Oryzias latipes: one gene and its partner. The protein of the gene in region 2 interacts with the protein of the main gene of each other region in a pairwise test. Links are inferred from orthologs where the notes say so. Each region holds a gene or a part of one and is shown on either strand. Other genes may lie near its edges.

Region 1 (3,818 bases), on a different chromosome or scaffold from region 2:
CTGAACCCAGTGAGTTCAGTGAATCTGAGGCTGGAATCATTTGATCCAGAAATCGAGCAGGACAAGCAGAAAACATGGAGGGTGATGACAGCTTTCCTAAAAATGATCGTCAGATATTTAGAAAAGCTGTTTTTTCACTAACTCTTCGTTTGTTGAAGCCACAGCTAAAGCCTTGGTCAGACCGCATCCCGTTATGGGGGGGAGGGGTTTACCTGTCCGGCTGCGATCTGACTGTACCTTTGTTTTTATTCTGTTGTCATCCTGACTCTAATGTGTCCCTGACTCGTGTGGGCGGAGCTTCCTGCTGCTGCTCACAGGCAGAACTCACCTGCAGCATGGCGGGCGTGAGAGAGGGGGTGGGGAGCGACGGGCTGCAGTTGTTCATGGGGGAGAAGTCCGAGGCGGTGACCAGCAGAGTAGGCGGGCTGATCTGCAGGACTCTGGGAGGCTTGCGCGTCTTCCCGGAGCTCTGATTGCTGGCTGCGGTGCTGCTGCTCGCCGACGACGAGCTGGTCTCCGCGTCCACCAAGTTGATCTCGTCTCCGGGCTGAGCGCCGCCGCCATCCACCTGACAAAACCAAAAATGCTGCTTTACTTTCTTGGGGTCGGGGAAACACTCTGGATTACTTTAAAGTCTTCAGATCATTAAACTGAATCGCATGTCAGGTAAAGATAGCCTGCGATAAGCCTCCAAACAGGCTGTTCCAGCTGCAGCAGCAGCAACTGCATCTCTAACGTCCTGCTGGGCAATAAAAACATTGAGACTTAAACAATCCATTAGATCTGGATTCACACTAGGAGTTGTAACAATCACTGAATTGATTTAATCTGTCTGAGGCAAGTTGTTAATCGAATTGAATTGAATTGACAGAAATGATTTAGAAATCATTTTAAATCAAAGAAAGCAATTTTATCGATATTATCAAATACCATTTAGATTGAGACAAGGTAGGTTTATTTTACTGTAATGTAAAAATAACCAAGTGCATCACAGCAGACAACTCACATGTGATGTCAGCAAAAACTGATCACAAATCCATCACTCCAGTCTAATGTGTGGAAAGACTTTGAATTTAGCAAAGACATGCGGCCATAACAGTTTGGTAGAATGTTCCAAAAATGGATTATTTGGATGTGGAAGAACAACTGTGCTGAACTTTAGGAAACTAAAATGTAAATTGATTTGTCATTAATTCTTGTTTACTCATTTGCTTGTTCATGTATTTAATTTACACTTGATTATCATGCCAGAAATAGAAAGAATCTGGAAAACTTCAGCTGCTCTGTTCAGTACACAGCTGTTTATCTCTCAGTCACCCTGATTAAAGTATCGGCTGAAGATGTCCTGGATTGGTTTTAGTTCAGTTAGTTCGGTAACAACAGTCCTTGTTAAAATAAATCCTTCCACCTCTAACTCACACGTGCAGCTTCCAGATTGAACAGCATTTAAATACACTTAGATTTATATTAGAGTTATCTGATCATTTGATCAGAAATCAGGTATGATCATGTTGTTAACTATTTTTAGTAGTTAATAGAAAACTCTAGTAAATGGTTAATAATTTCTTTTTTCTATTTTTACTTCTTAATGGTTAAGAATTTTTTTTGTAGTTGATAGTTTACTATATTTACTAGATAACTTGATTGTTGAAGCTACTTCAGTGAAGTTCTCTGTTTTTTTAACAAGAACTTTATTACTCACAACGATCCAATACAATACAGTGCAATACAGGAAAAGAACATGCCAGGGGGTTATGATTACATGTTACACAAAGACATTAACACTGACACACAGATCAAGTGTTTTCATCGCTTTCTTATTGTCAGAATTCTATATTGTGTTCATGTATTGTTTGACCTCATTGGTAGACATTGGTAGATATAATTGGTAGATTTGGATGAATGTTCCATTTGCATAAAAATAATATGAGATATGCATAATTGTTCTTTTTTTAATGGTACGGACAGTGGGTGAGGAGGCCAAACATACAGTCAGGACCATAAATATTTGGACAGAGACACATTCTCTCTAATTTAGTTTCTGTACATTACCACAGTGAATTTTTAAGAAAACAACTCAGATAACATTGAAGTGCAGACTTTCAGCTTTATTCCATGGGTTCCACGCGAGATAAACAAACGCATGTGAGAAATCCGTCCCATCCGCGGTCACTTCACCTGCGTGGAGCACTAAGTTTAAGCTGATGAAACAGCGGAACATGCGGCGGTTTTTAAGTCAGAACTGGAGCTGCTTCACTTACAGCAGCAACAGACCGATTAATAAAAAGTGTTAAGTATTTTACTACGAGAAGAAATTCTGAGAATTTGCTTTTAGTTCTTAGCTTATCCCTTGTGCTATCCTATGGGGTCCAGATGACCCCACCCTTACCTTGACGTGTTCTCCCTACCATGACAAAGGTGGATAAAGGTGGAAAGATTTCATGTAATCCATGGACACCAGTGAGGATCACAAATCATTCAAGAAAAAAGGTTTAGCTCACTGTCTAGTGGGTCTAGATGACCCAACTCCCAATGTTAAAGTGCCTAGGATAGCACAAGGGTTATTTACAGTATGTCAACAAAAATGTTTGTCAATGTTATGTTTGAGTAAAACTTGATTTAATGCTTTGTTTTTAAATGGAGCAGATCAAACAGTTTAGCGATCTGTTTATGTTCTCTTTTGAAGCTTTTGTTTTACTTGTGTTCCTTCAGTGTTCTGTTGAAAGTATGATTGGAAATCAATATTTAAATCTAAACAACCGGCTGATGATAACATGTTTCTCCTAGGAGCAGCAGTTTTCAAATATGACAAAAATAGTTATTTGGATTATATCGTGATATATCGTTATTGCCTGATATGAAAGAAAAAACTATATTGTATAATATAAAAATTTCTATATCGCCCAGCCCTAATATTAATATAATTTTGTACAATATTTTAGAAAATCATTTTTGCCCCCCCAAAACAAGAGAAACTGCTTTAAAGCAAAGTTCATATCATAGATTTGATTTTGATGAAAATTTTTTGCTTTTTTTAATGAAAATTTAGATTAGTGTAAACTTTTCTAATCTAATCTCTCCCAATTTTTTCTACAGATTTTTTTTAAAGGCTACGTGGTGCGTTTCAGTGTCAGCTATTTAAAGAAACTTTAAATGACTTGTGAGCTGAATTTCAGAACTAAACGATCTGCAGATGAGCGAATTCTTTATCTTTTTTCGCTTTAAAAACAGATGTGACAGATGACGTAAAAGAAGGGGGTGGAGCCACGTTTCCGTGGCGTGTACCTTGTCCTGTTCTGTGGGATCTTCAGGCTGGGAGGAGTTCACCTCCATGTCGCTCAGGATCACCAGCTCCTCTGAGGAATCCTGCACGAGGTTCGGGGACGCGCTGGCAGAGCTCATGTCCGCCAAGCCGAAGGCCGGTTCCGACTGGCGGCTGCTTTCGAAGGAGTAGACGGGCTGGTGCTGCAGGGAGGAGTGTGTGGCGGCGTCTTCGTCCCTTGGAGGCGGCGCTTGCAAAGGATCTGAGCTGTTGGGCATCAAGCCGGGTTCTGTGGCAACCTGAGGAGGAAGCGGCGCCGGCTTCGGGGGGCTGTTTCCAAACTTGATGACTGACGACAGAGGTGGAGACTGTTGCTGCAGCGGCTGACACTCCTGTCCCTGCGAGGTGACAGCAAGCAGCCTCTTCTCCATCTTCTCTGCCGGGTTCTCCATTTTAATGGACTTGAAGAGCTGGGGCCTGTTCTGCAGGGAGTTGAGGTGGAAGGAGGTGTACAGGCCCGAGTGGATGTAGTCGTTGCGGTTGGACTGCTTGCTGC
Region 2 (4,339 bases):
TTTCACTGGCCACCAGCAGCAGAACCTGGGTTCCTGTGAGGGTGGACAGTTCATACGCCTGGAACGAGACCGACAACACAACATGAAGACCGGAGCGGAAACGCGGCCCTCAAACATCTCAACGGGAACGTCAGAACTCCAACCTGCAGAAAAATCCAGAAATAAAAGTGATGCATTTCACCACAGAGACCAAAATAGCAGAAGATAAAGGTTCGAGTCCAGGAGAAGCTCGTCCCTCCAGCGAGGAGGACGGAGGAATGGCTTCCAGCAGATGCTTGGACTCAGACTGCATCCAACACACACATCCGACCAAACGGCTGCACTCAGCCTGAACTCCCCTCAGAGTCATCGCTCATCCTGAAGATGCTCCCGTCACCGTCAGGGAAGGCCGCCATCCCCCTCAGCACACGCCGGCGGGGGCGTCGCCCCAGAACTCGCAAATCAAATTCAAATTTGAGAACTTTATGGAGCCGTTGTAAAACCGGCGAAAGCTTCAGAGTAGCGGTGGAGAGCAGCAATCGTCCAGCCCCTCTGCTCCTCGCCGTGACTCCACGCTCACCTCCCCTCGCTGCCTACCGCGGCGCCGCTTCAACAACACCGCCGAGTCTGGCCAACGTCCAGCCTGGAAAAACGGACTCATTTGTCAACCTGAGCGTGGACGGCGGCCTTTAATAGGGCTCCTCGCTCTGCCAATTTTCACATAAATATGAGTAGCTGCAGGTGGGGGTGGGGGGCTGCTGTCTCCGCCTGATTGGTTCCTTTGGCACAACTAAAGCGGAGCCATTAACGAGAATTGCCGTACAATAACAGGCATATGTTAACCCTTTAACGCCTGTATTCATGCCAGCTGTTCTCAGGCTGATGCTCAATAAAGTTATTTTGGAGCCAAAGTGGTTTGATCCATATATGCATCAACAGACGTAAAGAAGTTCAAATAAAAACTTTGGCTCTTTGCTGTTTTCTTAGGCCTCATCCGGGTCCAAAAAGACTCGAAACGTCCTAGCAAAAGAACTCAGGAGCCCGAACCATCACTTTATCTCAGGCCGTGTTGGGGGCCACTGAAAACCAGCGGCAGATCCCTGCTCCCTGTAAACGACACGGCGTTCACCACGAACGACTCCACCGCTCGCCGCCGAGGAGAAACCAAAACGTCCATGAGAAGGAACCACCTACGGACCAGGAACAGAACCTCCAGCATCACGTGGATCCGTCAAAATGAAAGTTCAGAGCTACGATGAGTCGTCCCACTCCACCCACCTGTCAGCTCCTGTCAGGGCTGACGGAGTGTGGGCAACAGAAATCTCCATCCCCTCATTGTTGCCAAAAGCCCACATGAAGACACCACAGTTTCCACGACAACAGTCTGGGATGCATCAAAACACAACAGTTTAGATGGTGCTGTGGAAATAAAAACACACTGAAAAAAAGAGGAGTTTTTATGAAATCTGGCTCCTAATGACCTTCAGATGATCAGCAGAATATTTCTGTGTGATCGGGTTTTTAAGAGAGCGGTTCCGTGTGCAGAAGAACCAAACATGAGTATTCAATGAGGTTCTGCTCCTGGTTCTGGGTGCACCATACGGTGGTCTGTGCAATCGTCTGGTCCGGTTCCCGGGGGTTTAGTCAGCTGTTGGCACATGCAGGCCTGCAAGCCATGTGGCAGCTGCATACATGCATGCATGCATGCATGCAGCTCCATGCATGCATGCATGCATGCAGCTCCATGCATGCATGCATGCAGCTGCATACAGTTATGTGGGGTGAACTTCGTCACAAGCAGAACCGGGATCCTGCATCCTCTGAGGAGGATGTCAGAACTTCCAGACCCAAACTCTGGACATGCTTTCCTCCTCTGAGGGAGCTGTCAGCTCACAAATCAATGAACCAATCATCTTAATCAATCAATGAGCGTGCACGCGCCTCACACACTCACCTTCTTCATGATGCCCGTCTTCCTCTTGCTGAAGGTCGTGTACCTCCGTAACTTGTTGTCTATAAACTCCATCTTAATCTTCACGCGCCCCCGGGTCTTCTTCCCGGGCTTTGCCCCGGCGACTCCCCCGGACACCATGCCGTAATCTCCGGGGGTGACTCCCGCCTCCTGCCCCGCCGCCGCAGCCTCCATCATCTCCCCCCTCTCCCGCTTCACCCCTCTCCTGCTGTCCCCGAGTGACCCCACCGGGTCGTCGTCGTCCCCGGACTCAGAGTCGTTGTCGGAGCCGCTGCACACCCGCTCCGGGTCGAACCGGGCCCCCATGGGCAGCACGACGCCCGCGTTCAGCCCCACCATGTGTCCCGGTACGGCAGCCTGCAGGGGGTTCCCTCCGGTCCCGTTTCCCGGTCTCGCGGCCCTCGAGCCGCCTGGACCGTTGGCTCCGAGCATCCCAACCGCGTCCCTGTCCCCGGCGTGTCGCCCCGCAGCGCCCGCGCCGTCGCTTAGCCCCGGTCGGACCAGGACGGGGCGAATCCCGCCGCCGACAACCCCCGAACTGTGACCGGTGCTGCCCTTGCCGGACGCGGACCCGTTTCCAGATGGTACCGATCCAGCCTGGCTGGGTAACATTATATTTAGGTGACCGACCGAGTCCCGAGACACCAGCTGGAGAAGCTGGAGCGTGGCGTTGCGTGAGTGCCTCCTGATATATACCGCACGCGCCGGGGCCACGCAATGTAAACAAAGCGCTCAGTTGATTTGGACGCTACGAGACATTAGTGACCCAGACTTTGAGAGTGACGCTGCCCCCGGACCCGCGAACCCGGCTCCGTTCGGTCCACACTCCTCCTCTATTTCCAAAACTCTCCGTACTTTCTCAAAAAGGAAAGCGCGAACAGCTCCGTCGATATGACTCCGCTGCGTCACATAGTTCGCCGTGTGAGCAAAAAAAAAAAGGCCGAATATAACACCCTATGTACTCACGCGAAAACGTGAAGGCGTCGCTTTATTTACATTATTTAGTTTACGTGGATCAGAAATGCATAAAATGATCCCGCATTTTAAAAAGTTATCGCCACGGCGGAGTGATACGAGAGCCAGGGAACTACTTTCCTCCTTATAAAGAGATACAACGTTTCCTTATATGGTGCTGTCTCTCCTTATTTGGTGAGTCACAACGTCGCCTGCTGATTGGTTGAAGATTATCTGACTAAAGCAGTGATTGGACGATAATAGAAGCTCATTTGAATAAATACCAAAATGGTTGCAGTGATGTCAACGTCACAGTCAACGCTCATGTCGCCGAAAAGCGCAACAAAAACACAAAGTTTTCCGTTACAGATTATTTGAGTTTTTTGTTACGCAGTTTGTAATTCAAACATTTGTCCCCATCAACACAAATGTAGAAAAAAAAACATTACAAGCCAACAATAAAATAACGTGAAAAACAAAAAGTACAACAAAAAGCGCGTGGTGATTTATTTCAGTCTGCTCGGGCCTCAAACTCACCTGTTGGTCTACCTTTATTATGACGGCTGGACCAATGAGCTGAGGTCACCAAACTGAGTCTAAAGGTCACGGATGGAAAAGAGCTTCAAGGTCAAAACTGGTCCAAAACCATATTCCTCTTATTCTAAAGGTTCCTGTTAAAAAAAAAAAAAAAAAAAACTTTATTAAATCAGCCAAATCTGGAGCAGCTACAGCCCAACACCACCCAACCTAAAGAACCCCCCCCCCCCCCCCAAAAAAATGTGGCTTTTTTCTAATTGACATTTCATTTCTTTGTTCAAATCGCTGTGAATCAGGAGCAGAAGAAAAGATGCTGTTTGAAAAGGATTCATAAATATGCTGGGTGGTCACAAGCTGGTCTAGGCTTTCAGAACAGTGATGGGAAAGGGGGCGGGGTGGCTCCACATTAACAGCCTCGGTGGAAGACGACACAGATTTGTTTTAGGCTAAAAACGGCATCATCACTTTTAAAAGGCCACTAGGAAGACTTTGAAAATAGGGCAGAAGATGATGAGCAGAACTTCAAAGATTTCAAAAATGGAATTTAGAAAAAGTAAAGTTATGTTCCATCAAAAAAAAAAAAAGACAAATCTGAGCTCAAACTAAGAAATTAAAGGATAAATCCATCGTCATCATCACGGTGTGCATATATGTATATATGTCAGGTTAAACTTGTCATGGAAGTCAACAGGAAACTACATTAGTTTAAACATGAGCATAAAGAACTTTCTTTTTAAAAATAGGTTTAAAAAGTTTAAAAACAAGATCAAAACGGGCCCAAGAGCTACTAGTTTCCCTCAACGATGGATGGATTTAGAAATAATCAAGAATGACTGAAAACTTATCTGGCAAATATTTATGAAATTCCACAAGCTTTGATAACAATGAATATTAAAC

What was found.
Region 1: the proteins of srf (region 2) and elk4 interact in a two-hybrid assay, tested with the Homo sapiens proteins (2 studies listed by BioGRID and IntAct). The link is inferred for Oryzias latipes from reciprocal best matches to the Homo sapiens genes SRF and ELK4.

What each region holds. Positions count from the first base shown.
Region 1 is NC_019863.2:24,090,638-24,094,455, forward strand, and holds part of elk4 (ETS domain-containing protein Elk-4), read right to left. Parts: coding exon 3,286-3,818; intron 569-3,285; coding exon 329-568; intron 1-328. UniProt on the Homo sapiens protein: Involved in both transcriptional activation and repression. Interaction with SIRT7 leads to recruitment and stabilization of SIRT7 at promoters, followed by deacetylation of histone H3 at 'Lys-18' (H3K18Ac) and subsequent transcription repression.
Region 2 is NC_019873.2:29,042,308-29,046,646, reverse strand, and holds the start of srf (serum response factor), read right to left. Parts: upstream 2,910-4,339; 5' UTR 2,564-2,909; coding exon 1,934-2,563; intron 59-1,933; coding exon 1-58. UniProt on the Homo sapiens protein: SRF is a transcription factor that binds to the serum response element (SRE), a short sequence of dyad symmetry located 300 bp to the 5' of the site of transcription initiation of some genes (such as FOS).